Linked DNA regions of Oryza sativa Japonica Group. The protein of the gene in region 1 interacts with the protein of each later gene in a biochemical or structural test. Links are inferred from orthologs where the notes say so. Each region holds a gene or a part of one and is shown on either strand. Other genes may lie near its edges. The genes, in order: probable protein NAP1 and protein PIR.

The links.
Region 2: the proteins of probable protein NAP1 (region 1) and protein PIR form a complex in vitro, tested with the Arabidopsis thaliana proteins (2 studies listed by BioGRID). The link is inferred for Oryza sativa Japonica Group from reciprocal best matches to the Arabidopsis thaliana genes GRL and PIR121.

What each region holds. Positions count from the first base shown.
Region 1 is NC_089042.1:27,418,797-27,433,696, forward strand, and holds the end of probable protein NAP1, read right to left. Parts: intron 14,746-14,900; coding exon 14,620-14,745; intron 14,486-14,619; coding exon 14,378-14,485; intron 14,111-14,377; coding exon 14,066-14,110; intron 13,986-14,065; coding exon 13,843-13,985; intron 13,550-13,842; coding exon 13,417-13,549; intron 12,856-13,416; coding exon 12,751-12,855; intron 12,671-12,750; coding exon 12,592-12,670; intron 12,199-12,591; coding exon 12,005-12,198; intron 11,538-12,004; coding exon 11,392-11,537; intron 10,977-11,391; coding exon 10,895-10,976; intron 10,782-10,894; coding exon 10,671-10,781; intron 10,139-10,670; coding exon 10,013-10,138; intron 9,942-10,012; coding exon 9,826-9,941; intron 9,744-9,825; coding exon 9,647-9,743; intron 9,173-9,646; coding exon 8,175-9,172; intron 7,510-8,174; coding exon 7,300-7,509; intron 6,869-7,299; coding exon 6,382-6,868; 3' UTR 6,044-6,381; downstream 1-6,043. Other genes in the region: aBC transporter G family member 45, read left to right, coding at 25-75, 144-234, 577-878, 1,067-1,662, 1,764-1,924, 2,037-2,140, 2,245-2,404, 2,490-2,653 and 8 more. UniProt on the Arabidopsis thaliana protein: Involved in regulation of actin and microtubule organization. Part of a WAVE complex that activates the Arp2/3 complex.
Region 2 is NC_089037.1:2,435,292-2,451,151, reverse strand, and holds the start of protein PIR, read right to left. Parts: upstream 9,567-15,860; 5' UTR 9,401-9,566; coding exon 9,347-9,400; intron 8,341-9,346; coding exon 8,268-8,340; intron 8,020-8,267; coding exon 7,955-8,019; intron 7,822-7,954; coding exon 7,744-7,821; intron 7,230-7,743; coding exon 7,110-7,229; intron 6,089-7,109; coding exon 6,018-6,088; intron 5,302-6,017; coding exon 5,209-5,301; intron 4,868-5,208; coding exon 4,798-4,867; intron 4,434-4,797; coding exon 4,369-4,433; intron 3,869-4,368; coding exon 3,673-3,868; intron 3,552-3,672; coding exon 3,400-3,551; intron 3,175-3,399; coding exon 3,081-3,174; intron 2,765-3,080; coding exon 2,552-2,764; intron 1,669-2,551; coding exon 1,457-1,668; intron 1,209-1,456; coding exon 1,067-1,208; intron 686-1,066; coding exon 517-685; intron 60-516; coding exon 1-59. UniProt on the Arabidopsis thaliana protein: Involved in regulation of actin and microtubule organization. Part of a WAVE complex that activates the ARP2/3 complex. Interacts with the active form of RHO-family GTPases.

The DNA.
Region 1 (14,900 bases):
CACTTAAAAAGCTGATTTGCACAGGCCACAACCTTTGGAGAAGGAAGCAACCTTACAACAAACTATATTATCAAGGTTAGTGTGTTGTTTGTTTGATTCATTATTTATCCTGAGGCACAGCCATAAAAATTGAGTGCATGCAGATACTTGGTTTATCCGAATGCGCTGATACCCTAGTGGGAGACGAGATGCGAAGAGGCATATCAGGAGGACAAAAGAAAAGAGCTACAATCGGTAAGCATTTTGTCTTTTTCTACTATGTATTTTGTTTCTCTCGTCATCCTCTATTATCACTTCTCCAGTAAATATTTGTATCTTTTTCTACTACGTTTTCTGCTCGTATCATCATCCTCTATTACCACTTAAGAGTACATTCAATTAGTCCGGTATAGGAAAGAAAACTTTTATCATCTCAACAACTTAATTATTGTATGAAAGAAAGAAAAGTAAAGTCCTTATCATCGTAGAAATCTGCATGGTAAAATGCTTCTAGCCATCGAGCCAGATGGCAGCAAGTAAGCAGAGAAAGAGCAGGACCAGATAAACGACATACTTACAGGTGCTTCGTTGATGCAGGCGAGATGCTAGTTGGTCTTGCAAGATGCTTCTTCATGGATGATATATCAACTGGTCTAGATAGCTCCACCACATTTGAGATCATGAAGTTTCTGCAACAAATGGCTCACTTGATGGATCTCACAATGGTTATTTCCTTGCTACAACCACCACCTGAGACATTGGAGTTATTTGATGACATAATCCTTTTATGTGAGGGGCAAATTGTGTACCATGGTCCTCGAGAAAATGCTACAGATTTCTTTGAAACTATGGGATTCAAATGCCCCAGCAGGAAGAATGTAGCAGATTTCCTTCAAGAGGTACTCCATTATCAATTACTCCTATCATAAAGAAAAATTGTCAAATAAAAACATTGCTAACAGTTGATCTCCTTACAGAGCAACTTCAGGATAGCCACGTTTTTCTTGTGTTCCCAAAATCAATTATTCTCTAATAGGTACTTGTGCATAACAACATAATACTAACAGTAACTTTCTCATTTGGTCAGGTGACCTCGAAGATGGACCAAAAACAATACTGGATAGGCAACGCAAATAAGTATCAATACCATTCAATTGAAAAATTTGCAGAGTCCTTCCGTACCTCGTACCTCCCAAGACTCGTAGAAAATGATCATTTTGAATCAACTAATGCCGGAAAGAGCAAGGAGGTAAAAACAAGCACAAGTCGCATGATCTCCAGCTGGAATATTTTCAAGGCATGCTTTTCAAGGGAAGTGCTGCTCCTAAAAAGAAACTCTCCAGTGCATATATTCAAGACCATACAGATAACTGTTCTCGCTTTAGTGATCTCAACTCTTTTTCTCCGGACAAATATGAGACATGATACTGTACTTGATGCCAATAAGTACATGGGAGCACTCTTTATGGCTGTTGTCATAGTAAACTTCAATGGCATGACTGAAATTGCAATGACAATAAAGCGGCTCCCCATCTTCTACAAGCAAAGAGAAATACTAGCATTGCCAGGATGGGCACTCCTTTCTTCAGTATTCCTCCTTAGTCTGCCAATATCATTTGTAGAGACAGGTCTTTGGACCGGCTTAACCTACTATGTGATCGGCTACGCACCTTCCTTTGTCAGGTACTCCTCCTAGCAAGTTCTATATTTAAACAATAAGGATAAGGATTTTCTTACTTGAATAGATTGAAGTAACAGGTGGAAGTTTCTCTTGCTTCTGACAGATTTATCCAGCACTTTGTGGTACTTTTTGCCATGCATCAAATGTCAATGAGCCTGTATCGCTTCTTGGCAGCCATAGGAAGAACACAAGTAATGGCTAATATGCTGGGGACTGCAGCTCTTATAGCAATCTACATACTTGGAGGCTTTGTCATATCAAAAGGTTAGACGATTTTGCTTAGAGTACCTTGAAAAGTATGGCAACTCTGTACTACAGGAAACAATTTAAGGCTTATGTGCAGTAATGATACTCACCAGTTTGTACACTTGTCCAGATAACCTCCAACCATGGCTGCGCTGGGGATATTGGACGTCCCCATTCACCTATGCACAGAATGCAGTTGCCCTGAATGAATTCCTTGACGACAGATGGGCTACAGTAAGAACTCATTTCAACACTTGAGATAGCTAACCAAAAAGTAGAGTAAAATTCTTGATCAAAGCTGTTTAAAAATTCCTAATGATGATGATCTCTGCTTATAGGAATTTCATTTCGCAAATGCAAATACTGTTGGTGAAACGATCCTCAAGGTAAGGGGGCTGCTCACAGAGTGGCACTGGTACTGGATCTGTGTGAGCATTTTGTTTGGATTCTCGCTGGTCTTCAACATCCTCAGCATATTTGCACTACAATACATGAGATGTATGTACGCCAAGCTACACTAAGCCTCATAGATACTGAAATAGAAATACAAATGGTACTCACTCTTGTTGGTTATCATATGCAGCTCCACACAAGCATCAAGTTAACATCAATGCCACAAAGGTGAAAGTAGACTACAACAGCCAGATAGTTGGAAATGGCACGGCATCAACGGACCAAGTCATCCTCCCATTTCAGCCCCTCTCCCTTGTATTTGATCATATCAATTATTTTGTTGACATGCCTAAGGTAAGATCTTGACCACATCAGACATTACCAAATAGTTTAATCATGTTAACCACATCCAATCTGTTGCTCCACTCTTGATCTTAATCAACTGTGAATATCTTTGACAGGAGATGACAAAATATGGAGTAACAGATAAAAAGCTTCAGCTGCTACAAGATGTCAGTGGTGCTTTCAGGCCAGGGGTGCTAACAGCTCTGATGGGGATCACTGGTGCTGGAAAGACAACACTGCTCGATGTTTTGGCTGGAAGAAAAACTGGAGGATACATTGAAGGAACTGTAAAAATAGCAGGCTACCCAAAGAAGCAGGAGACATTCTCAAGGATCTCAGGCTACTGTGAACAGAGTGACATTCACTCCCCCAATCTCACCGTATATGAATCACTGCAGTTTTCTGCATGGCTTCGCCTTCCTTCAAATGTTAAATCTCACCAGAGAAATGTATGTGCATTGACCTCTTGTCCTTTTTCTCACATAGTTGGAAGCTCACATCAAACATAGGATCTCATGATATTTATGTTCAAACATATTTCAGATGTTTATAGATGAAGTCATGGACCTAGTTGAGTTAACTGGACTGAAGAATGCCATGGTTGGCCTAGCAGGAGCGACAGGCCTGTCTGCTGAGCAGCGAAAAAGACTAACAATAGCTGTTGAGTTGGTAGCTAGTCCTTCCATTATATTTATGGATGAGCCAACCACTGGTTTGGATGCTCGTGCTGCAGCAATTGTCATGAGAACAGTAAGAAAGACAGTAGACACTGGACGAACTGTTGTCTGCACAATTCATCAGCCAAGCATCGAGATATTTGAATCTTTTGACGAGGTATGAGTAAGTCAATAAATGAGTCAAAAATATTTTCCACTACAAAATCAAGAAAGAATAGTCCAGTAGTGGCAGGTGAATGACTGAACGATAATTGAAAGCACAGCACCAAAAGTAGTGCTTTTTGTCAAATCAAACAGCAAAACTAATTGACTTCACATTTATGCTCCCCTTTCTTCAATAGTAGCACACATTAAAATGTTCTTTTAACACAAGCAACCATTAAAGTGTTAAAGATAGTTGTGACAAGTAGAATATTTCAGGAACCACAGCTCAATTTACCTTTCCTATGAACAAGTACATAGGTCGTCCTTCTGAATTTGAGTTCAATCTTATTGATCGCAGCTTCTACTTATGAAGAGAGGAGGTCAGCTCATATACAGTGGTTCATTAGGTCCCCTATCTAGCAATATGATAAAGTATTTCGAGGTAAGATTACCTAAGATTGGGTTCTTGTTCCAAAATGGAGAGAAGAGGTCTTAAAATTCTTTTGTCGCAGGCTATACCTGGTGTTCCTAGAATAAAAGAGGGGCAAAACCCAGCAGCGTGGATGTTAGATATCAGTTCGCGCACAGCAGAATATGAGATTGGAGTGGACTATGCAGAAATTTATCAGCGCTCATCCCTATACTGGTAACGCAATACGATCATAAAGCAAAAATTACTATTTTGCTAACTTGTTTGAACAAGAAGGAAAAGGATAAACATGATGAAATCACACATGGTTTCTTCAGGGAGAACAGGCAACTAATTGATGACCTAGGAAAACCAGAACCAAACACAGAGGATCTACATTTTCCACCCAAATATTGGCAAGACTTTAGGGCACAATGCATGGCATGCCTGTGGAAGCAAAATTGTGCTTATTGGAAAAATTCAGAACACAACGTTGTCCGATTCATAAACACATTTGCTGTGTCAATTATGTTTGGAATTGTATTCTGGAAAATTGGCTCAACCATGTAAGTACGAATAGCTATCCAAATATTTTTATTTCATGAGAACTTGTAGTGCTTCAATATTGTTTTGGTTAAATGCTAACTTTGTTCTCCTGTGCAACAGTAAGGATGAGCAAGATGTATTCAACATACTAGGGGTTGTGTATGGGTCAGCACTATTTCTGGGTTTCATGAACTGCAGCATCTTACAACCAGTTGTAGGAATGGAAAGAGTTGTCCTCTACAGAGAGAAGGCGGCAGGCATGTACTCCACTATGGCGTACGCCATTGCTCAGGTAATTAATATATAGATCTGTATAAAAAAAACAACTATTCTGAAAAATAGAGGATTTGAAATGGACTCTAAACACAAATGCTGGATTCTTGTGTGCAGGTGGCAGTTGAATTGCCTTACATGTTTGTCCAAGTATTCATCTTCTCAGCGATTGTGTACCCAATGATTGGGTTCCAAATGACTGCCACAAAGTTCTTTTGGTTTGCCCTCTACATGGTGTTAAGTTTCCTGTACTACACGCTCTATGGGATGATGACAGTAGCACTAACACCTAACATTGAGATAGCAGCTGGGTTGTCCTTCCTCATCTTCATCTTTTGGAATGTCTTCTCTGGATTCATCATTGGAAGACAGGTACTACTACCCTGCTACTCTGTTGTTTCAAGTCCCCAATTTTTGTCAAAACCTTAAATTTAGGTTCTACTAGGGAGGATAAATCTAAAATTCTCAGACCTCTTCCTAACAAAATTGATAAAAAGTTTACCCTTGATAACCCCACAACTTCATAATCAGAGATCGTGTCTTAGATTTCGTTTTGAACATTTGTGTGTGCTTGCGAAGAAAAGAAAATTTGTATGTTTGACTAACCTGATGAACAACAACAAATGATGCAGATGATCCCGGTGTGGTGGAGATGGGTGTATTGGGCAAACCCGGCGGCATGGACGGTGTACGGGCTCATGTTCTCGCAGCTGGGAGACCGGACGGAGCTGATCCAGGTGCCAGGGCAGCCAGAGCAGACGGTGAAGGAGTTCCTGGAGGGCTACCTCGGACTCCAGGACCGCTACTTCAACCTCGTCACCAGCCTGCACGTCGCCATCATCGCGCTCTTCACCTTCCTCTTCTTCCTCTCCATCAAGCACCTCAAGTTCCAGAGGCGGTAGCACGGAATTGATGCGTGCAAACTGCAAATATACACTAATAACCAATCACTTAACTGTACAAATGTAAGAGAACATAACAAAAATGCACAACATAAGGATTTGTTACTAAAATATGTAAACCGTAAGGGATTTGCATGTGTAATAGCAGTATAGAATTGTTGTAGTACCATGGTCGAGAAATATACAAAAGAAAGCAAGTGTATATGTTGGAAGAATTTGTAAAGATATAGTTTCGTTCGCAGATTGATTGCAATGCAGACCGTGCCAATAGTAATGTATAGCATATTGAATTGACAAGTAGTAACAACTTACCGAGATGGGCGAAGAGGACTCCATCCAACTGGATTCAGAACATCCAAGTTCCTTACACTCTTTATCACAACTGGACTTTAAGAAACTATTTGTTGGCTGTTGCAACACAATTTTTCTGAGCAGCTGACACGTTTCTGGTCGTTCGTTACATCTGGGATAGAAGGCAATTATACAATCCATTTACATTAACAGACATACAACTAGCACATTGCTAATTCATGTAGCAACAGAGGAGGGTTTACTTACAAGAGCAATAGGTACCATACATATAGACTTACAAGAGCACTAGGTACGTAAATACAGCTAGAATACATATTACTTCACGCAAAGGAGCTAAATAACATATATGCTCAGATGCTCTACAAAGACGAATGGGAGCATTGACTGGAGTCCACTCAAATACAAATTGCTAGATACTGATGCTGGCAAACTATGATTGCCAGTAGAATGCTGTTGTTACTTGTTAACATGATCTTATTTGTAGGATAGGGGGCCAGATCTTGACACAGCAAATCTCTGTAGTGAGCCTGAGCCAGCCCCATGGCTTCCAGAACTTGAACCCTCCACAAACTTCACTTTCCTGGTTCCAGTGTAATCTAGTGGCCCAGATCGCCTCATGCTTCGGAGTTGCCTCTCTCCAGTTCTTCTATCCCCTTCATAACCTTCATCGTACTGGGACCCAGATGAACTGTGGTATCCAGGCTCGAAAGTATGAGACCTGGGCGTTGTGTCTGCTCGATTTTGCTTCATTGATGGTGATGCATGAGCCAGAGATATCAGAGGGGACTGCCTTGGGGATGGCTCCATTGGTTCTGTGGCCATCAGTGAAGCTCCATATAATTGATGGTAGATTGAACGCAGAATCGTGTAAGGTATGTGAACTTCTAAGGTGCTCCTTGGGAGGTAGGGGGACATCTCACAGAGTTGATCGAGGAATATTAGCTTTGGAACAATGTATGGCCTGTAAGAAAATTGCAACCAACGCAGACCACAAAACCATTAGCATACCAAAATCATAACTGATTTTTACTAAAGTATTTGAAACAAGACAATCAATAATTTCCTGGCCTCCAAGAAAACTAGAATCTCCATCTATCTAGATGGCCTATTGGATTGCATATTCATTTGGTTTTAGTTTTTGCTTAAATGGTTTTACTGAGAAATGGCAATTTAGTGGATCATTAGCATGCTGGGGCAAATGAGCGGCATATGCAGCACCAAACAGTAAGCAATATCTAGTGTTACACCTAGTATCTGTGCCACATCCAGTACGCTGTCCAACATGGCTAAGCAATTCATTCATGCAAATGGACTGGGATAGAGGGTAGTATGAGAAAACCTAGCCAACCAAGATGACATTCAGGAACAAATTGGACAAACATAATACTTTACCTGCTAGTGTCATTCCATGAATCCAGGACTAACCCTGCAGACAATTTGACATAGAGTTGCATAGCAGATTTAATATTTGCTTCAGCTGAGACACGGCTCAGTAATTCAGGCTCTTGCAGCTCATCCATATGCCCATTTGAAAGTGAACTTCTCCGATGTTCCCTTTCCATCCTAGTGTATTCACTTCCTCCAACCACAGCACTTACACACCTGGGAGAACACAAAGAGCAGTTACATGCAATTCAGAGCACCCAATATTAACGCTTACGCCCTCTACTGTCAATAGCCTACGATATAAAAAATATACTAATATCGATGCTAGGAGAAGCTTTAGGAACTTAGTTGTGCATAATAGCTGTAAGCAGGAAAACAAATTATATGACAATGTTTCCTGTTAGTTTTTTCTGCTGCCTTGTAAATTTGTTACCATCCATAGTAAGGAAATTTGGCATTTCCAAACTTGTTTTTAACACTACCATGCAATATTTCCAGTATCTAGACTCTCAAAATTGGCAAGGAATTCTTCAAAGACACATTGATACATACTTAGAGAAAGTACTAGCAAAATATTCGTTTTTGCAATGGATTTCAAAATATATAACATAAGTTCTAAACTTAAAAATTGTATATGTTTCTCATGGAAAAAATATATAACATGTAAGCAAACATCAAACCAGAGATAGCCAAGAAGATCTCACAAACTCTAGAGGTAGCAGTGGAATGGCATATTCACCACGATCACTAGGTTTTTCTCTTTCTGTTACATGAAGGAAACCACTAGGTTTTTTATCTGAGATATCAGTAGAGAGAGAGGACGGAAGGGGTGGGATATTTCTATACCAGTCAAACATAACCGATAGGTAGCAAGTGCTCACCTTGCTAAGCAATGCAAATTGTTACTGAATCCACCTGTATTGACATCATAAGCAGTAGTGCTCCACATATTGGATGCCATAAATGCAGCGCAAAGATATGGAAGTAAGGTCCAAGAATTATCATTAGCAGAACCTATTTCTGCCAGAATAGAATGAACCCACTCGGCATCATGTTTGTCACCGACACCAACACTGCTAGCAACCCTTCTTAGTCTAATGATCTCATTTTTATCAGGTACCTCTTCTGGCAACTGCATAGCTAATCCCTTGAGCAGAGAATATATGAGAGGTACTTTCTCTTCAAGAACAGCTCCAACAGCTTCTACCAACAACCGGCGAAAAGTTATTGCCTGACCTGCCTGGATACAGAAGTCAGCCAATGTTTCGATGTCAATTATCTGCTTTAGATTTGCATCTCTTTCAATCCTATCACCAGAGTTTACACTTCCAGCAAGGCCCTCTAAGGCATCGCGGTTTGACCTAAGCGCTGAGTCAATGCAATTTAGTAGAGCTGATGTATGTTCCCTTAACAACTTATCCAGCCTATCTACTCCATAACCACCAAATAAACGAACAAGTGCTTTGAGTTCTCTTTTATCTGTGAATGCTTCCGCTAAATATCCACCACCAATAGGCTGTGAGCTCCTAAAGCAATTCTGAGATGCATCAAAAACAACTCCAGTGCGAGATGCATCCTTTACGAAGTTATCAATATACCAATTAGATATTATGTCTATGGCAGATCCTCCTCCATGTGTTTCTGTTGGTGTCTCAAATACTTGCAGGTTGGGAAATGGCCCAGTAAAACTCTCTGCAAGTAGCACTTCCCGTATACCTTCAGTAAGGTCCATACTGATATGCTGCTCTGCCAGATGGATGATGCTCAGGTGTCTTCTTAGAAGAGATTCTATGACTGATGGTCGTTGAAGGCAGCTATCAGTTCTAATCATGCTGTGAAATCTTCTCCTAAAATTACCTATGATGCAGTCCCTCATGTACTGTCAAACAACAACATTTTCATACCCAGTTTTAGAAACAAACAAAATATGCATAAAAAATCTATTAAAAAATAATAGACAAACCATTAAGATGAAAATGAACTTATCTAGGCGGTATTATATATATTAAGAAACATGGTCTAGTTGTCTTTCCAGAGAGCAACTTCTGGAACAAGATATTTTCTTTTTGTTTATGTATGTAATCAGATCCTTTTTCATCTCAAGATTATTGTTTTACAAGAAAATAATAAATTTAGCAAGCCGCCATCTTAATAGTCATGAACCACCATCCAAATTATCATTACCACAATACCTAACATATCCATCTCTGCTTATGATAAAATAAATGAAGACTGGCACATCCAATCCTTATCCTTGAATGTGATTATTTGCATCAACAGTATAATACACGGAATAAATCACAACTTCTTGACATAAAAGAAAGGTGGTGGTAATCTTTTTTTGTTACTGTACCTCTCGGAGAATAAAAACATGATTGAGAACACAAATAGGCTCCATGTCATTTAGCACAGAGCATAGACTTGTCAGCCTTTGCATAGCAGCTTCCAGCCTGTTTTTTCATACATCCACAATTAGAGCAATGGAACCTCAATAGTATTTAAACAGTGCCAGGAAGTAGAAAATTGACTGACATCTTAACTGAAGAACTATTATCAGGATAGCTCTCATGCCCTGGTGCTAACAAGCCTGAAACAGCTTTTGCTCTTGTTGCATTATTCAATCGGATAGCTGCTTGCTCTGGCGAAAGCTGAAGAATAGAAAGTGAGGGCATTAGATATAACAGATAGCACAACAACTATGAGTTCAGAAATTCTGTACCTGCATCTCTAATGAACCAAATCCACCTTCTGAATCTAGAATATTTATCAAACCTTCCAATCCACCCATTATAGACTCGATAAGGGACTCAACATATGAGATAGAATCTCTGCCAATCTTGTTGACCTACATGTTAATCAAAGGAGCATTCACAAATAAATATTTCAAACAATAGAGACATGGCATTTTTTTTGGAAACAATAGAGACATTGCATTAACATAGCTGAGATATGTTTTAAAAAAAACTCAAATATTATTGATGACACTGTAAAAGGTTGGTTTAATAGGTTTTTCCGAACAGAGACAGAACTAGATGCTTTCAGGTTTTCAAGCTGCAAGAGAACATATGCATGCAACAAAGGTCTAAGTCTAATGGGTTCACACAGGTTGAGAAAACTGTTTTCTACAACCTAATTATTGATCTTCGTGATGGTCCAGAGTTTTTCATGTTCCAGAGTGTACCCAAAAACTTTCTTGCTTTTGAATCAACTATCGTAGCATTAGAGGCCTATCGGTTGAGTAAAGATCAATAATGATGCACCACCTCATCCTATTCACAATTCCTCAAAACTAGCCATTTTGCAAAAGCATGTCTTCAGTATTCTTTGTACATCAAAATAATGCTTGAACTTAAAGACAAGTGAGTTAAAATATGCACCTCTTCAGGAATAATGGAAGAAGCACATTCTGGAAAGCAGCAAGCTGCTCCAAGCCACGCACAACAATGTTGGGGACGGCCTTCTGGACCAAACATTGTGTTTCTGAAGACCTGCAATTTTCAAGCATAATTGAGCTTGCTAACACTGAGAAAACACTAGTACTTGATAAAAAGAAAATGAAACTATGAGAATTGGATGAAAATATAAACAAAACTGGAGTCACCGTTGTAAGATGCTGATGGTAGAAGTAAAGTTTTTTCAGGCTTCCATGTTTGGAAAGCTGGCCCTCAAGTTCATCCACACATCTGCAATATAAGTACAGTGAGGACACATGATTCCACGGATCATTAGAAAAAAGGACATGATTCTGAAAAAACATGGATCACCAGCAAATCATAATATATTAAAGCTGAGAGTGAACATTTTCATAGATACCCTCTGAAATCCAGTTTACATCTAATAGTAGAAAATGCTAACTAAAAATGCAGAACAGAATCAACAGATAATCTAGAGAAGGGCAACAACACATAAGACAAAAATCTATGTTCTAGAATCTACCATACTTTGCAGCACGGCGGATGCAACTTTTAAAAAAATGCCATATCTGTACAGTTCCATTAATTATCATGATTACTAATGAATTCATAAGCTAGGAAAATATGTTAGTTACATCTGTGTCATGACATTGAAATAATCAATTGAAAGCAGCAAATTTCCCACCTAGACCAATTGTAAGCAGCATTGCCTTCTGAGACCAGGCCCTCCTTCCCAGTAGACACAGTAGCCTTCTCCAAATGTCTAATATTTACAGATGATCGTGATGATGTGACAATCATCAAGATGGATAGCCAGTGCTTCCGCAAATCCTGCACCATCAGCATATGTTTTTATCAATTGCTAAAAGTAAATTGTATGGAAAAATTAGCATATGTATGAACACACTACACAGTAAATCAATATACTTGGTTGCTTCATCGTCATATGTTTTATTGCAAGCGTCAATAGTTTCATGTGCAAATTGCGACAATCAGTAGATAATTGTAATTGCTTTCATCAGAAATTTAATTTACAAGGAAAAAGATGTTTGCTCATGACAAAAGATTTTCTTTACCCTCAATCACTAGTGTGCAAATAAATAAGAGGTAGCAGTAACAGAAAATTGCATGGGAAAGATCAGCTGAGACTGAATTAGCACTACCAGAAAGTCATGTGCATGTGTGTGGTGTATGTATGTGCACATGCTCATCAATGATATGAGTTGAAAATTATTAGGGCCATCTCTTTTCTTCTAAACTCGGTGTTTTTTTGTAGATGGCAATAGGGAAACCCTTACAGTTAAGTCACAAGTAATAGCAGGGACATTTTCCCCCTGAGGTTTCGGAATGTTTTCCAGACAATGGAGGACTTGCTGGAACAGGCCCTTCAGTGTGGCATCTAGGTCAAGAGCAACCATGCCTGGAGTACCAAGTAAGAACCGTATTCTTCCAGCACAAGATGACAAGTATGATAATGCATAACCTTTTATTGCTGCAAAAAGAACATAACAAAGAATGAGTTAGGCATCATCATTTTGTATCAATAAGTTATGGCATATATTTCTCTATTCTCATTTTCCAAATGTAAGCGAGTGTCAGCAGAAGGGGGGGGGATGAAAGATCTCCTTGACAGCATATATGAAACTAGCCGAATATTCCGCACAACTGTGCATGGATATAGTTCAGTTCTTATGCTAGATTATAATTATTTAGATAATTTACAAGAACTTGTCAAATATGTTCAGCAGAGAAGGTGCAAAAACTTTAGGCCTGTCTGATGTAGCATTACTAAGGTATAAAGTTTAATGCATGAACAAGGCAATTTTCAGACAATACAGAAGAAATTGAAAGAAAAACTTGAATAAGTCAACAGGTCAGGAAGAACCTGCTATATATTTACGAACCAGGCAACAAAGTTTGCCCATTCCATCTAATAGGAATCCAATAGTTGGGTCTGCCGCATCCTAAAGGTTTTGATGACCAAGTCAGAACGGCAGAAACAGGGAATGATGATATCCAAATGAAAATGAGCAAATTTACTAACAATGTCAACTGTTCTCCCTCGACTAGATTTCGATGATGCAATCCCCACATGCTGGAAGTACCAAACCACCTCACATTGAGCCAAAGCAAGAGCAGAAAAGACCATCTGCAAGAATATGTGAATGTTACTATGCCTTGCAATTTGCAATAACAAGGTATTAGGCACAGACAGTTGATCTGCATTTGGCTGAAATTTTATGCAGACCCTTTCATCAATAACTATTACAGTATTACCTATAAATCCATATGATATGTTCCCATCATACCCGAATAAGTTTTTCTTTAAAACTTCTTGGAGCCATTACGATACAGAGATGTTAATATTCGAAAGGACTAGTGGGCCAACATAAAACTAGCATCAAAATGTTAAGATCAGAAATATGGTAGGTTGACATTGCTGAAATGTTTATGGCAGTCCCAGAAAAGTAATACTCCCTCCGTTCCAAAACATAAACACTTCTAGATTTGAAATTTGTACCCAAAATATAAGCACTTCTAGAGTACTAATTGTCCCATTAACCACCATCCCACAGTCCCACGTTGAACCATCCCTCATTTAATGAGTATCATAGTCTTTTCTAATCAACCATAATCTTTGCTAAAACCCGAAGTGCTTATATTTTGGAACAGAGGGGGTAGTACATAAAATGTGAAATTTTCAACCAACCTGAATATTAGGAGCAAGAAGACTAGGTTGATCTGTGAAAAACAAAACCATCCTTCCAATTTCCTGTTTCAGAAGAATTCTCCTTTCATGATGTAGAGCATCAGCTGACACCAATGCTTGTTCATGTACTTCCCTGCAGGAGGAATAATATGCATGAAGGAGAGGACATACTTTTTAGAATAATTGAACAATTTCTCATTTTGAAGTTAGGTTGCAACAAACAATAAAACATAATTTGCCTCCTTGCAAGCGGATCACTGTATTTGCAGCAGCCCAAAAAAATTGGAATATCCCGAAAGCTTTGCTAAATTATTCAAAGAAACAATAGGTTGCCCAAATTTCACTTAAAAGGCCAAGATCCCTTTTCACGTGAGTTATTTTAGGTCAGATGTCAAAGTAGGGAAGAAGAGGTTGCGAGGGACATACATTAACATTTTCTCAACCTGCTTTGCAACATTGTATTCCAGATCAGCTTCCTTTTGCTTAGTACGTCCAGATTTAGCCATTCTCTTCGATTCTAAAACTTTTGGAAGGACATAGAGTTGATAGTTCTCATGGAGTAAGATGTACTGCATAAAATATTAAGCCTAAATTAGTATATCAAACAAAAAAAACTAACCATGGCCACCACATGAGATTTGATCTTTACCTCATCTCTGAACAGGGAGAGTACTAAATTTTCTTTCAGAACAACCTGAAAAGGCACTAACAACAAATGAAGTACAGGACACTAGCCAACAGACATAGCTGTCTGAGAAAACAAGAGGGTATATGTGCCAGTGTATGGTCGTGTGTAAGGAATCCGTGCATGTTACCACGAGACATCATATCAGTTATCCTTCCACATTTTTAATTATCTAAAAATATCAGTTAATAAATTACTTAAATAGAGAGATTTATTGTTAAACTGCATGAATACATTTCAGGGAAACAAATACCAAAAGAGAAGCACACAACGTACCATTGCAACATCTATACTGGTCACTCGAAGTAGTTCATCTGGACAAACAAGATATCCAAGAAGAACCCATTCACGATATGATGTTACATTAGCCAGGTCTTGGGCCCTCTGAGAGGAAACAGAATCATGATAATTGTCCAAATTTTAATACCTCTCAATATTATGATATCGCTAATAAATGAAAGTATATGTAAATCTGATGATAATTCACCCCTAGCTAATGAAATAATCAAATAACTAACCATAGGATGAGCAGAGTTTGTAAGGATGTCAGGATAACGTGGATGAAATGGACTGAGGAACCCTTCATTTCTTAACTTTTTTGTATCAGTTGAAAGAAAGATAATTGGGCCAACAGCCTCCAGGACCTGAATAACAATAGTATTACAGTTAAAGCACATAAAATGAGTTATGAAATTGAAGCCACAGCTAACATGAATGGACCATACAAAGAACCTAAGCAAAAAGGTCAAATAAAATGGATATCAGATTTGAATACATAAAAGATGTGTTAATTATGCCT
Region 2 (15,860 bases), on another chromosome or scaffold:
TTCCAGGTAAAACTCTCGGAACCAAAGAAATCCAAGATCAGTTAAAGTACCAATTGTAGCTGCATGTACCCCAGATATTAGCAGTTAAGTTAGTATCCAATGAAACAAGATCACCACAGTATATATGAACTCTTAAAATTTACTCCCTCCCAAAATATAGCAACTTCTAGCATTCAAAATTTGTCCCAAAATACAACAACTTCTCCACCTACATTCTCTTCACAACCAATCACAGTTTTCCCCCAATTAATTTCTCCATGTACTTCCTCTTCTTAACCAATCACAACCTTCACCCATTTAATTCCACCTACTTCCTTAATACCCGTATTTTGGGACAGAGGTAGTAAGTGGCAATTCTAGAGCACTAAAAATATTATAGTAAAGTGAGCATATTTCCCTAAGAAAACATATGATAATTTAAGTTTCAGTAAGCATAAAAAACACACCAAACGTAAAGCGAAATTATAACATGATAGTAGCTATTTCTAAGTTTGAGAAGGCATCAAGGCGAGGCACCTGTATAGTCCAAAATATGCAAGAAAAAACTGAGCTTATAGAAAAATGTCTCTAGCTGTTTAAGATCTTCCACAGGTATTCCAGAGCCACTATTGCCAAATAGTCCTCCAGGTTTTCTCATATTACCACCAGATACAAGCTCACAGATGAGAAATTGCAAACAATGAATCTGTAAACATATTGGTAAAAGGAACAAAAGTTAAAAATCAGAAGCAGGGTGAACAGAAGATCATTAGAACACGGCAACTAAAGTTGCAGTATGATGTGAAATTGGAAAACGGAAAAGTTAAATGGAGAATTTTACAATGTGTTATACTCATGGTTTATCATCAAATTTTACTCAACATAATTATTAAACTGGATAGTTTTTATGCTAGAAATACAAGGGAATAAGGGAAAGTCTTTACATGTGGAACATCAATGGTGCAAAATAGCAGACCAAATTTCTAAACTCCAACTAATATAGATGAGATAGTTAACCCCTTTGTTACTGTAAGAACATAGAGCTACTGAAGCAAAAGCTTTCACATGATAAAGTATTAATAAAAACCTGTGCAGCTGTTGGTGCAACTGGCCTTGGGTAGAATGTGCTTTGTCTCATTTCCTCTGTTTCTAACGAGTTGTGTTCTGGATCTCCCTTGCTAGTGTTGGCCATCCAATCTGCGGAGAGGGTTCGCATATCAGAGAGGATCCTGAAAGAAAAGCAAAGGAAAAATGGACAAACTTAAATTTAAGTTCCCAAATGAATTCTCAAATTTCAGGAAGAATTGGCATCATACATAAATAAATATAAATGACAAATACAGAATTGACATAAGTAACTATGTCATCCCCAGATTGAACTAAACATAGAACAAGATTTATTGGAGCCTATTGGAACTGCTGGTGGCAAATTTACAGTATCATGTTAAAATAAGGATGGTTGAGACGAACAAGTAACCTAGATAGGTCCTTCTTCTTCCGAAATGTTGTACGGAGCATAGTATCTAGTTTATCCTGTACAAAATCTTGGACCTCCATGTGTATCGTTTCCCATAAGGCTTCAGACACTAAGGTGTCACAGCGTTGCATCATCAATCCAATACTTTTTATGTAACCAATTAATTCAAGAAGAGCCCTCCGTTCTTCTCCAGTGTAGTTCCAGCGTACTACCTGCATGTAAGTTGTTAAATGTCCATAATCAATCAAGATGTCCAATGTCCATAACCAATAAAATTGAGTTGTAAACATTAAAAAAACCTATATCAAAACAAAAAGGAAGAAAAATATTAAAAATAAAATAATACATTTTTGGGATGTGTTATTTTTTTAGGTCTAGAGAAAGGAACTAATTTACTGACATTTCAAGGCTACACGCCCACTACACAATGCGAGTATGCAACAGGTAGGCACCATTATCCTAGTCAGGGTGGAAGAATGTAGAAATATGAACAGAAAGATTCAATCAATTAGTTTCAGCCAACAAATCAGGTGTAAAGGTCTCTTCCTGTGCCCACATGTGCCTCACTTAGTGTATACAAGCCAAATCAGGGTTCTGTATTTAATCTATCCCGTAATGGGAAAAAAAATAACAAGAAACCTTGCGAACCCATCCCTGGAGATTGATGATCATGCATGTGTATAAATTCAGACTAAAGTTTCCGACATAGTAAAGGATCAAAGGAATTCTAAATTTCCAATCATTATATTCATGAATTTGATGTTTGAAATGTATCTTAGAATTCTGAGGCCTATATTGATTGGAATTAAGCATTAGTACAATTATCATTCTGGGTAAAGAAAAGAAAAGGGATGCAAGGTTTTCAATAAACAATGCACAAACAATTTCAAACATAAGGAAATGGAGTAGAAGAAAAATATTTTTTTACTGAAAATACTACCGGCCTTATCTAGTAGATATATTATATTATCAAAAGAATATTTACAAAGGAGAGGAAACAAAACACAGAATTACAAAGTTTGTAACCAGGACAAAATAGAAGAACTAAGACACTAAAATAATTGGCTGCCAGCACTGCTTTAAAAGAAAGAAGACCTTTTCATAGTCAAAAAATGTTGTCGATCCATGTTGAGAATCTGAAGGTGGTTCTTTACAAGGGCGCGAAAATTTCCAGGCACACTGCTCCCATATCCTGCCAGTCCATCGGCTAAGAAGCTGAAAGCCTTCAACAACAATATCATACATGTTCCCCTTAATATCTCTTGACCAGTCATTATCCGCACCATCTGATGACTTCAATATTATCATCTGGAAGCACATTGCAATTTTCATTGTAAACACACATCACAGAACACAAAAGAAAAACAATCGTAATTATCTCAGAGTTAATTGAAAAATTTAAGTGTAATCTCTTTTTACACTTTTCTTCTTGCATAGAACTCCACAATAATGATATATCACATATACATGAGACAATGTTTTGCGGTGCTTACTATCAAGGACATAAACGGTAATGGTAATCCGTAGTGTATCAGTTTCACGGTTAATATTTAGGAGAGTTACTAAAGCACTGGAATGAAAACTTTACATGCTAACCCAAAAATGACAATAACTTCACTTCCACCTGGTTCATTGCAGAGGCAAAACGTATAGAGAAGTCATCATGCTCTGCTCTGATAGTTCCCATGTGGTTCAAAATCAAGTAATGCCTCTGATAGGTGGTTTAGTTAAGGAATTTCAAGCATAACATGACCAATTGCCACACATAAATTTAGGTCACTTAGCACATGATATATCAGCAAGAAAAAATAACAAATATTTTCTGAACTTTTTATCTACATAGATGATGGGATTCTTGGATAATAGCCACCTCTGTTCAGGTAAAAACAAATATTGTAGTATACAATAACAAAAACATGTTTAAAAGACACAGAAAAGGATATTCTTGTAGCTCTCGAGGGGGGATTTCATGAGGAGATGGAAGAGTAAGAAGACGGGTTTGACTGGAAAAATTTTGAAAATACGATGATAGCTCCTTCAAAATTGCAGCAGGAGAGAGATGCAGATCTGGAAACGCTGGAATAACTGGATCGTTCTGCCAAAAATAAATAAGAAAAACATTAAGTAAAATGGTAAATATATCCTAAATAGCACACATAATACTCACTCAACCCAAAGAAAATAAGTAGACTATCTGGACAACTTGGTAATCGAACCTTAAAAATATTGAGAAGACGGTTCATCTTGACTCTCTTATAGAGTGACTCACTCTCTTTCTCTGAAGAAGTTGCTAGAACAACCAAAACTGGGAGAACACGAAGTAGAGTATGGCGCTCGGGAAAAAGAAGAGCAAAGTCTAACTCAAGTGATTCCACACAAAATACTATAAGAACCTGTAGAATGTCCTCAACACTATTCTTTAAGTCAAAGGAAATCAAAGAAAATAACCATAGAAGGCAAGAAAAATTAAGTTTTCCAGTGTGGTACATGCAGAATCAATAATCATGTATGCTTGTATTGTAAATGACTATTGATGAATTATCAAGACTGTTCAAACGCAAGTCCACAATCTACAAATGTGCTGTACACATCTGCTACATAGGCATCAATGGGAGATAATTCAAGTAAATAAACTTCCAATAACAATTTTCAAGTGTAGAACTATATCCCTACAATACTCACAAGAAAGTTGGTGTTTTCTTTAGTCAATTCCTATAACTTATACTTTGTCCTGCAGCTGGAGGGCATGGTTACTATGGCAGCAAAGATCCTTGTGGTAGATATATTTTATTTATTTTGAGAACATATTATTTTCCTACTGCTTACGGAAGGGGTTTCTAGAAAGAAACCATATATAAGATTTATACAACCATTGAAATATTCTTCATTTATTAAAAAAAAAAGTGGGATACGTATTTGTTCGAAACATCTCGGCATGCAAATTCAACAAGATGGCCCATCTGGTGCTCAAAAAAATCTGCAAGTGCCAGCAAAGGATCAAGTCAAATAAAGATAGAAAGCCTTAGGTTAGGAAACAGACTACATTTGTTAGGAAACTAGAGATAAAGATTCAAAATGGGTTTCCATAATATTAGAGAATAGTTTCTTAGGGTCCTCCCTATATATCAAGGAACCCCATGTACCCCCGTTATCATTCAACAATGAATCTATTGAGTTAGTCCAGTAAGCCTCACAGTCTCTCTAGCACAACTGGAAAAAGCCTGCCGATCTAGTAGAGGGTGAGTGCACTATCTCGTGTCTTTGGACCCTTTCCCCAGCTGAATTCATGAACCAACATAACAAAATTTTGTAAAAAAAATGAGACATGACAAACGAGCAACCTGAAGATCATCCAGCTCTTCTCTCATAGTGTCAGTATCCTGCCACTGGGTGCTTACTTGAGTAAATGTTCTGCATGAAAGACAAATGAGATTATAAGCACTAATTAATTGTTGGATCATCTACAGGGGCAAGGACTAAAAAGCAAATGCGGCTGTACTTTAGAAACCATAAATCATATGAAAATATAATTTTCCATCAACAAGTAAGTAAAACTATTTAAACATTCCTAAGTTATCATTACGGCCAGTTTAAAATAATCCTACCTATAAAAACAATTTTATTTGTTGATTTTGTTCACAGATGTTGAATGATGAAGAATCAACTGAAATCAACAAATTTTATTGTGACAACTCATCTCTGACATTCTGTGAGAGGAGCTCTCAAAATTAAATGTTAAAATGATCATGTACCTCTTGTACCATGAAAAATCATTTGGTATACTTGCTTTTGCATTCTTAAGATGATCAAGCTGCACAAGGACATCAAGCAACTTCAGCATAGACCTGGATTGAAATAAAATGAGTGACATGAAGGTAACATCATCTGGCAGATTATATACTGACTACTGAGTTTGAACAAGGTTGTGATATTAATTGCGCTGCTAAAAAAATAGTAATATATAATGAAATAAGTTATATACCCTATCCAGGCATGCAAGTTTCGTGCAGAAGAGAGATTAATATAAATTCTTCAGGGAAGTCAGAACTCAGAAGATAAAATACAGTAATGGATCCCATTTATAGAATTCATGTTCTTTCTTAAACTAGCATAAAATGGATCTCGAATAAACATGCCATAAGTTCTAGACTTAAATAACTGTAAGTACTTACTGCTCTCACATTAAGTATTCACATTAGATCTACTGGCAATTGCACATAAATATGCACAAAGAATTCAATCTACAAAAGACATATACGTCAACATAAGTCCATTCACAAAAGATCTGAAGTGAGGTGTAGAGCACACATACACCACCACCACCAATAAAGGAACAAGTCCATTTTCAACATTCACCATTTAATCGGGGAAAAAGAATCTATGTTCATATCTGCTAGATCTTTAAGGCCCCCCGTGAGTATTATAGAGATAGGGTTTTGAAGATTGATGCCAGAATACTTCCCACTTTGTTTAGAAGTATAGGGCCAGTAACTTAGCACGATAAACAAGCATATGACAAAGAAAAGAGGTAAGGAACAGTCACTAGGGAAAAAGGACAAACCAAAAATGAGTTATTGTGGGTCCATTAACCAGTCTTTCAGGCCTAGAAAATCTCTGCATATCAGCTGCCAACTGCACAAGATAACACAGGTATAAAAATATGAAACAGGTACTATATTATTTCTGAAGGACTTAAACTGCTCAAAAGGTAATATAAGCTATGATGGGACTACAATAAAAATTTCAGAGACCAAAATATTTGTATGTGAATAGATCTGATAGTGTTGCAGGGGAGTAACAGTTCCCCTAAGAAGATGAAGATAGTTCCAGCTAGTTATATGGGAAAAGAAGTCTTCAAGTTAGGTCTGTGTCAACTTAGAAACCCCAAAATGAGAAAGAATTGAACAATCAGTCAAAAAATGATAATCTATTTGCACCTTCAACTAGGTTTTCTTGACAGTTTGTGATTTCTTTAGAAAAAAAGATCACCTGTTTGTTTGTCAACTCAGGTATTTATTGCATTTAATTTAAGTATACAACAAGACAAATATAATTAATGCATTACGACATGAGCTGCTTCCAAGTGAATTGCATTTTCTGTTTGCAGAACCTGTCTGTATTTATGCAATGCTATTAATTCCTACGATCTTGAGAAGTTCAAAAGGTAGCAAGTTTTGGTTCTATATCTGTGGAAATACGTTCCTCACTTCACATGGTTTGTTTTTCAAGCTCACATTACACTTAGAGCTGTATATAACCCAACTTAATTGGTAGTTAAGTTTAAAGATGCCATAACACATCGGCACAACGGCAACTAACATAGACTGATAGACATCACCACATGCACGCATGATCATCATGTGGATCAATCGGGAACTTTTTAGCTCAGATTTTAAGTTTCAAAAGTCTTTGGACAGGACATACTCATTTACTATTTATTAGCACAAGAAATACAATTGGCTAACAATATAGAAACTGAAATCACTTATGGAAGCAGATATGAGATAACATACTACCTCCGTCCCAGAAAAGAGTGCATTTCTGGCTACAGACTTGGTTGTCCATGTGCTTAGCCAGAAATGCACTCTTTTTGAGACAGAGGTAGCAGAAGAGACAGGTATTATGAAGTAATTGAACACAGAAGAGGTACTACCTTAGAAGCAGCAGATGCTTGCCATCTCTGGATTTCACGTAAGCGGCTCATTTCCAGGTCAAGAACTTGATATGTTTCAAGGTACAAATCTGCTTGACTATGCTTCATTGAATCGGGCAGCTGCATTCAAAGTTCTATAGTCTATGATATTCAAGATCACAGTAGGGAATCGTGTAGAATTTGCACATCACTTGGAGAATTATGTAATATGTACAATAAAATCCATTTGACACTAAAAATAGAGAAATGAACTCAAAAATGAGTACAATGTGCTCTATAATAGAAAGAGGATTCTGTTAGTTCCAAAGTCCACAATATGATACTTCAGCAAATTAATCAACTCAAGTCTCGAACAGAACTACCTCAGAAAGGATATGAATAAATCAACATAAACTACAGCCGGCTCAGGATTGGCACACAGAAAGTGAGAAAATAGAGTAACAAATCAAAGAAGAAAACTGATACTGAGAGACAGAATGACAGCGAAAGTTAATTGTTGAAAAATAAGGTCTTCTTCATTATTACCAATAGTAAATCTCCAAATGACTTGCAAAATGTCGAATGTCTTAGAATTGTGAAATAATATAACTACTTGGATGGCAATCAAATGAATGTATAGTTAGCTGAAGCAAACCTGAGGTAGCGCTTTAACACAGCTACGATATGTGTACAGCAAAGAAGCCATTTCTTTTCCCTCTTGAATCAGAGTATTCTGTAGTACATTTTTCATCCACAGAAAGAATAGAAGAAACGATGTAATCATCTTCCATTTAAATCCATGTAAAAAGGATTGAAAAGCAACAGGAATGCACTATACAATCACAAATAAATATACGATTACAAACCAGCTGGTTGATCGCTTTTGTATCTTCTCCTAATGACAGACGATAAGCAGCAACATCACTGTATTCTGAACATTAAAGTGCAAATAACAGATGACAAAAACAACTATCAGAACTCGGTATTAATTAAACTACCGAAGCTATTGTTTCAATAGTATAGTTACTTTCTAAGAGCAGAAAAACCAATCAAGACTTTGATAACATGGTAGATGTTTCCAACTTTTCACGGTGTTGCCATCAGGCATCAAAGAAACAATTAACAGCAAAATATAGTTAAAAGTGACAATGACAATAAATTCATCGTCATGCTGCATACCAATAGGACTATTAGTTGCATATCTTTCACTCGATAGGAGCACAGCCAAGCCCTGCACATCTGGTTGCTCATCCTGAAATTTAAAAATATGTGAGGTTAATATGAAAATCAGGATCAAGCAAAAAAGGTGCAGATACTACATAAAAGATCACATTCATGCAAGAGTCTGAGATTAAAATGTGGTGATCAAACTATAACAAAGTGGATTGCTACTTATAGCACACTAACTAAGTATGTGTTTCGTAAGGTTAAAATGTGGTGACCAAACTATAACAAAACAAGAGCATATGGATCTGTTCCACATTACTTAGAGAGAAACATGAAACTATAACTTATCCATAAGACAACCGAAGGTAATGAAATCCTATGTTTCCATATTCTCCTACATTTGAGATCAAAACAGGGAATTCTACTAGTTGTGGTTGACAATGAGCTTGACAACAGCTAGAGCTGGCAAACCTCACACCTCTATATGTCAAGCCATGGGGACCACGACACATCCTTCTGCATTTAGACACAGTCCGTTGGAAGCTCCCGTTCAACATTTCATTAGGGTCGAAGCTAAACAGATCTAGAAAAAATTGAAGTGTACCCAACAGAAGAGCAGCACCACTGATCAACACCTACCCAGATGATTGAAGTTAGGGAAGTCTAACAGCACAAAATGTGCAGCTCTATGCTCCTTTAGAGATTTAAAGTGGAGCAAAAATTGGACGACATTAGTTTAACCACCCCATAATTCAGGCGAGCGACCAGCGAGAAATCCTCTGAAACTCAACTTGGACTGCAACAAAACCAAACCGACCCCCAAAACCCTAGATTCGCACTTCTCCTAGGGTATTAAACTTTGAATACGAGCACACAAACGGACGAACACTCATACTGACACTACCAATTCGCAACGCAATTCGAGCAACGCAGCAAAACCAACACCAAGTCCCCCGCAGCCCGGACGAGACGCACGGGCCCCGCATTCCGCATAGCGTTTCCCAGGTCGAGCAGATCGGGACGGAATTTTTGGGGGGGGGGGGGGGGGGGAACGGGAGCAGCAAGGGAGGAGGGAGAGCCGTGTGGCTTACCTCGAGGGAGAAGGTGGAGAGGGCGGCGATGGCCTCCTCGACGGGGATGGCCATCCTCGCCGTCGCCCGCCTCGCGGAGCCCGGGGGCGGCGGCGGAGGAGGAGGAGGAGGAGGAGGAGGAGGAGGCGAGCTCTGCCGGGCGGTGGGGAGTGGGAGCGAGGTGGTGGTGGTGGAGACAGAGTTCGTGCGGGGAGCGAGGGAGATGCAAACCAATGCAGCCACCTACTCGTGGCAGCTAGCGTCGTAGTCGTACTGTCCCCGTGAACAGTGACGAGGCCGTGGGGACGGTGGGGCGAGTGGAGAGAGGTGAACAAGCCGTGAAGTGCACTCGAAGTAAACGGTGAAAGTGGACGGCGTTACGATTACGATTTACCTAATTATGGACTTGGGTGGACCGGTTTGTTGTTGTAGAATGGTGTTGGGCCTAGTTTTAATTAGGCCCGAGTTAACCAAATCTAAATCGAACTCTGGGCCGATTTGTAACAACTTGGTTCTCTGGACCTGTGTACGGCCTGCAATATTCAAATCAGGCTGCAAATTGGTCAGTGGGCTAATTTGCACGTACTGCCGTAGTCATTTTGCACCGTACATGTTCATACAGCATTGTTGTTGAAACCAAAGGTGATGGGTCTACATGATTCGATGCTATTCTCATCATGTTGCATGCATTGTCCTTTTATGTGGTGATGATCACAACTTCAATCATGTAGACATGTGCTACTTCCATTCAGAAGTAATGTCCATAACTTCACTCTCCAGACTTCATGGTTAACACTTCAGATTATTGCCCGATATTATCACACTTCCATTCGGTTTCTCTTTGCTCTTTCGCCCCCAAAGAAAACAAACATCAAGGAGAGGTTAAAGGCCAACTCTACCTTCTCCTGACACCACCAAGAGACAGAGGATGCCGTTAAGCCTGGTCTCCCTCATCTCCCTAGCTCCCATGTCCTTGCATCGTTGTCTCGTACGCCATTGATGCGCAGTGAAGCCGAGCAGCGGTCCACCACCACGACGCGGTCCAATCCAATCCAATGGCGTGGGGGCGCCGCCGTCCGTGCATGTGACTGTTTGACGATGCCTCTCGCTCGCCGCCGTACTGCGTGGCCATATGCAAGGCAAATGCATGTACTCCGCCCGCACAGCAGCGTAGTACTGTTGCAGTTGCAAGGACCTACTACCTGTGATTGTCCCTGCACAACTGCATGCAAGCAGGGCTATTATTCAGGGCTTCGTATTATTCAGGGCTTCGTGTGCCATGATTTGTCGATCGATACGACGCTACAGGACACTAGCTAGCGCGCAGGGCAGCAGTAGTACCTACGTAGGCAGCACCACGGCTGCACGGACTAGGCGTTTTTAAGAGCCGACCGATGCGGCCTCTCTACAGGTACTAGTACACTACTGGGTGGCCCAGATCACGTGCAGAGATGGGTATAGATGATTAGGTACACAAGAAATGGTTGATCATGTCGTATTAGCTCGCTTTTCAGACCAAAATAAACCAAGCTTGAAGTGCACTAGACAACTACTAGCTAGGGAAGCAATGGATCTAGCAAATGAAATGACAAAGGGTCCATCGCCAATTACAGCTCGTTGGTCTTTCTTTTATTATTGTGCGAAAGCCTGCAATTAGACCAACATTTGTCACTCTGTTTTACAGATCAGATCAGCGGACACCTGCATATGAGAGGCTGTGTGCCGCGTGCTAGCGACAAACGCGAGACGTGGAAGCTTCAACGCCTCAACGGCGTGCACGCGAGAGAACAGGGGACGGGACAAAACGCCGGACGAGACGAGAGATGCGTCGCGGTCCAAATGAGGGGCAGCAGCCACGGCGAGAGAACGACCTGAAATCATCGTGCTGCTGCTTTGTCGTCGAAAGGCCAGGAGGGCATCGAAAGATTCTTCGGTTTCAGCTGTTGGATGCATGCATGGGCATGGCCAGGCCAGCGAAAGACAGCGGCGATGGCTAAATTACTACAGGTTCAGAGGCAGGCAACTCATCCCGAGTAGTAACTGGACCGTACAGGCACAGCTGCTGGTGTGTCATGCATGATTAACAACCTCGTTTATCTTTTCGTTTATACTTATACTAATTAATTAAAATTAATTTTTTTTCAATATTGAATTTAGAGTTAATTTTAGATTTATTTCATGTAGTTTATTTTTTAGCATTTGATTTTAGATCGTTAGGTGACGGAGCGTGGGGCTCCTCACCGGGAGACCGCGCAGACCCCCCTTTGCCGGTTCGGCCGGGGGCGCTAAGTGAGGTTCTTCGCCCTCGATCTGAGGAACGTCAGCGAGAGAGGAAGTGCACAAGACACGGGCGACGTAGACAGGTTCGGGCCGCTGAGAAGCGTAACACCCTACTCCTGTGTTCTGGTGGATCTGTGCCTGAAGGAATACAGAGAGCCGGAGAGCGAGAGAGAGAGAGTTCAGGCTCTAGAACCCATTCCCCAGAGTCCCAACCCTCCTTCCTCTTTTTTTCCCCTCCTCCTTCCCTCTCCTAGGCCTGGGCCTCCTTTTTATCTGGTCAGGGGTCACCACATGGGCCTCTAGCTGCCTAAGAAGGGAAACATGCTTTTTACAATGAGGGCTAGTGTCGGTGACATGGGGCTGGGGGTATCGTGACTAGAGGCTTGGGTAGCCGCGGTCACCCACGTGGCCTGACCCCCTCGGGGGGGGGGGGTCGGGCCCGAGGATGACGTGGCCACCCCTCCCTCTGTCTCCCCGAGGGGTCGGACCGCCCCCGTTTCGGCCCCGAGGGCTGGGGCGCCCCGACCCCCTGTGGTTTTGGCGCCACGTGTGTGGGTTAGGTGAGCACAGCGGGGCTCACCTAACCGCATTTATAGCAAGATTGGACGAGCGCACCACGCCGCATTTAATGCGGCGCAGCACACGCTTATCCGGTCCGTGACCGGTCGCGGTGTGTGACCGGTCACAGACCGGTCAGATCGCGGGTTAGGTGGCAACAGGCGGCCTGTCACACGCCTCGCCCCGTCCCGTCGGAATGATGAGAGCTTCCTGGCTCTCGTCCCTAGCCGGAGCCGGCGTGCTAACTCCTGGAGTTGGTATGTCAGTCCCGGTCAGATCCATTCCAGGCTTCAGCACAGGTATGGCAAGGAAGTCGCTGGCCATTAAATGAAGGTTGAAATGGGCGTCCACCGGGAAAGCAGGCGAGCGGGGCAGGAGGCGTGTGCTCTGCTTGTCAGAGGTCACTTCCGGCTGTAGACTAGCCCTCATTGTAAAAAGCATGTTTCCCTTCTTAGGCAGCTAGAGGCCCATGTGGTGACCCCTGACCAGATAAAAAGGAGGCCCAGGCCTAGGAGAGAAAGGAGGGAGGAAAAGGGAAAAAAAGAGCAAGGAGGGTTGGGACTCTAGGGAAGGGGGTTCGAGAGCCTGAACTCTCTCGCTCTCGCTCTCCGGCACTCTGTATTCCTTCACGCCACAGATCCACCAGAATACAGGAGTAGGGTGTTACGCTTCTCAGCGGCCCGAACCTGTCTACGTCGCCCGTGTCTTGTGCACTTTCTCTCTCGCTGACGTTCCTCAGATCGAGGGCGAAGAACCTCACTTAGCGCCCCCGGCCGAACCGGCAAAGGGGGGCCTGCGCGGTCTCCCGGTGAGGAGCCCCACGCTCCGTCATCTGGCGCGCCAGGTAGAGGGCGCGCGTGTCTTTCTAAGCCCTCGTCCTCTTTCGTGTGCGCCAAGCCTCTCCCGCTCAGCCCAATGGCCGAACGGGCAGTGGCGCACAGCCTCTCTCCGAACGCTAGCGGTGACGACGGGGAGCAGAACCCGCGCCGTCGGGCTCGCACCCCACCGTCCCCCTCTCGCCGAAATCTTGGGCGGGGGAGGCGCTCGGGGAGGTCGGAGGATTCGCGACTTCGCCGCCCGCGGGCGACGGGGGAGGACGGCGAGACGGGGCACGTCGCCGCCTCGTCTACGGCGATGGCGGCACGTCCCAGGGCGCGCTCCAGGCTGCGGGCGCGCTCCTGCGTCACCCGCCCGTCGTCCCCGATTCAAAGACTCCAGCCCGACGTTGGCTGGATGACATGGCCGATTTGGTCATGACGGCGCAGCAGCGCCTAGGCGCCGGCGGGCGGTCCTCCGCCACCGAAGCCTCTGGCGCAGCCGCAAACTGCATTCATTACCCCCATAGGAACTTATTGTTATACGACAATGCCTTTCGGGTTAAAGAATGCAGGTCCTACTTTTCAACGTACTACTCGAATTTCTTTGGGTAGCCAGATAGGACGCAATGTTGAGGCCTATGTTGATGACTTGGTTGTGAAGACGCGCAACCAAGAGACCTTACTCTCGGATCTAGCGGAAACTTTCGAAAGTCTCCGCTCCGCCCGCATAAAGCTGAACCCCGATAAGTGCGTGTTCGGCGTGCCTGCGGGCAAGCTTCTCGGGTTCTTGGTCTCTGCCCGAGGCATCGAGGCCAACCCCGAGAAGATACGAGCTATAGAGCGGATGCGCCCCCCCAGCAAGCTTAGGGATGTGCAGTGCGTCACCGGCTGCATGGCCGCCCTAAGTCGGTTCATATCGAGGCTGGGAGAGAAGGCACTACCCCTATTTAAGCTCCTCAAACGCTCCGGGCCGTTTACCTGGACGGAGGAGGCTGAGCGGGCCTTCACTCAGTTGAAGGCGTACCTCAGTTCTCCCCCAGTCCTGGTCGCCCCAGAGCCGGATGAGCCGTTGCTACTCTACCTGGCGGCAACCCCGCAGGTGGTCAGCGCGGCGTTGGTCGTGGAGCGCGACGAGGACAACCCTCACTCCGCGCATCCCCACCCTGTGTCGACTCGACCCGGGAGAGAGCAGGGAGGAGAGGCCCCCGAGCCGAACGGCGGCCCAAGGCCCCCGACGGCCGGAGCTGGCCCTCCGCCTACTTGTCCGACGGTGCCAGGCGCCCCCGACCCCCAGGATGGCCCCGGGGCCACTGCGGGAAGGCCGCGCCTGTCGCCCTCGGACCCCGAGGGCGTCGGCACAGAAGCCGAGTGCGCCCCGCGTGGCCTCTCGGACGAAGAGCGCCCTGGAGATGCGGCCCCTGGCGAAGAGGATCGGCCCCGCCGAAAGGTGCAGCGGCCCGTCTACTTCGTTAGCGAGGGCCTCCGGGACGCCAAGACCCGATACCCTCAGGCCCAGAAGATGCTTTACGCTATTCTGATGGCTTCGAGGAAGTTGCGCCATTATTTCCAGGCGCATCGGGTCACGGTGGTTACGTCTTACCCCCTCGGCCAAATCTTGCATAACCGAGAGGGTACTGGACGGGTGGTGAGATGGGCAATCGAACTCTCTGAATTCGATTTGCGCTTTGAACCACGCCACGCGATCAAGAGCCAGGCCCTCGCCGACTTTGTGGCGGAGTGGACCCCAGCTCCCGAGTCCGTCTCTGCCCCCGAGGCCAGCTCGGGCCCCTCGCAGCTGCCTCACACCGCCTACTGGGTGATGCAGTTCGACGGCTCCCTGTCTCTTCAGGGCGCCGGTGCGGGGGTCACGTTGACCTCGCCGAGCGGAGACGTCCTCAGATACCTGGTCCGCCTCGACTTTCGGGCGACCAACAATATGGCGGAGTACGAGGGACTCCTTGCGGGACTCAGAGTGGCAGCTGGACTGGGGATCCGCCGTCTCCTGGTGTTAGGCGACTCCCAGTTGGTCGTTAACCAGGTCTGTAAGGAGTACCAGTGCTCTGACCTGCAAATAGACGCTTACGTGCGCCAGGTGCGGCGTATGGAGCGCCATTTCGACGGGATAGAGCTTCGGCACGTGCCCAGACGGGATAACGCGGTCGCCGACGAACTCTTAAGGCTCGCTTCCTCGCGAGCCCAGACCCCACCGGGCGCCTTTGAAGAAAGGCTTGCCCAGCCGTTGGCGCGACCCGACCCCCTAGGGGAGACGGACGCGCCTGAACGGCCCCCGAGGCCCGTCGGAGTCCAGGCCTCGGGACCCGAGGGGAGCGCTCCCAGCTCCCCTAGATTGATTGCTTGGATCACTGAGATCCAGGCGTATCTCGCAGATAAGACTCTACCCGAGGACCGCGAAGGGAGTGAACGCGTCCGGCGCATCTCCAAGCGCTACGTGCTGGTGGAAGGGACCCTCAATCGGCGCGCGGCTAACGGAGTCCTCCTGAAGTGCATTCCTCGGGAACAAGGCGTCGAGCTTCTCGCCGATGTCCATGAAGGCGAGTGCGGAGCCCACTCCGCCTCACGCACCTTGGTTGGCAAGGCCTTTCGTCAGGGTTTCTATTGGCCGACGGCTCTCAACGATGCGGTCGACCTGGTCCGGCGGTGCAGGGCGTGCCAGTTCCACGCCAGGCAAACCCATCAGCCGGCCCAGGCCCTGCAGACCATACCTCTTTCGTGGCCGTTTGCTGTCTGGGGGCTCGATATCCTAGGTCCGTTCAGGCGGGCCCCGGGTGGGTTCGAGTATCTGTATGTCGCTGTCGACAAGTTCACTAAGTGGCCCGAGGCTTATCCGGTCATCAAGATCGATAAGCACTCCGCGCTTA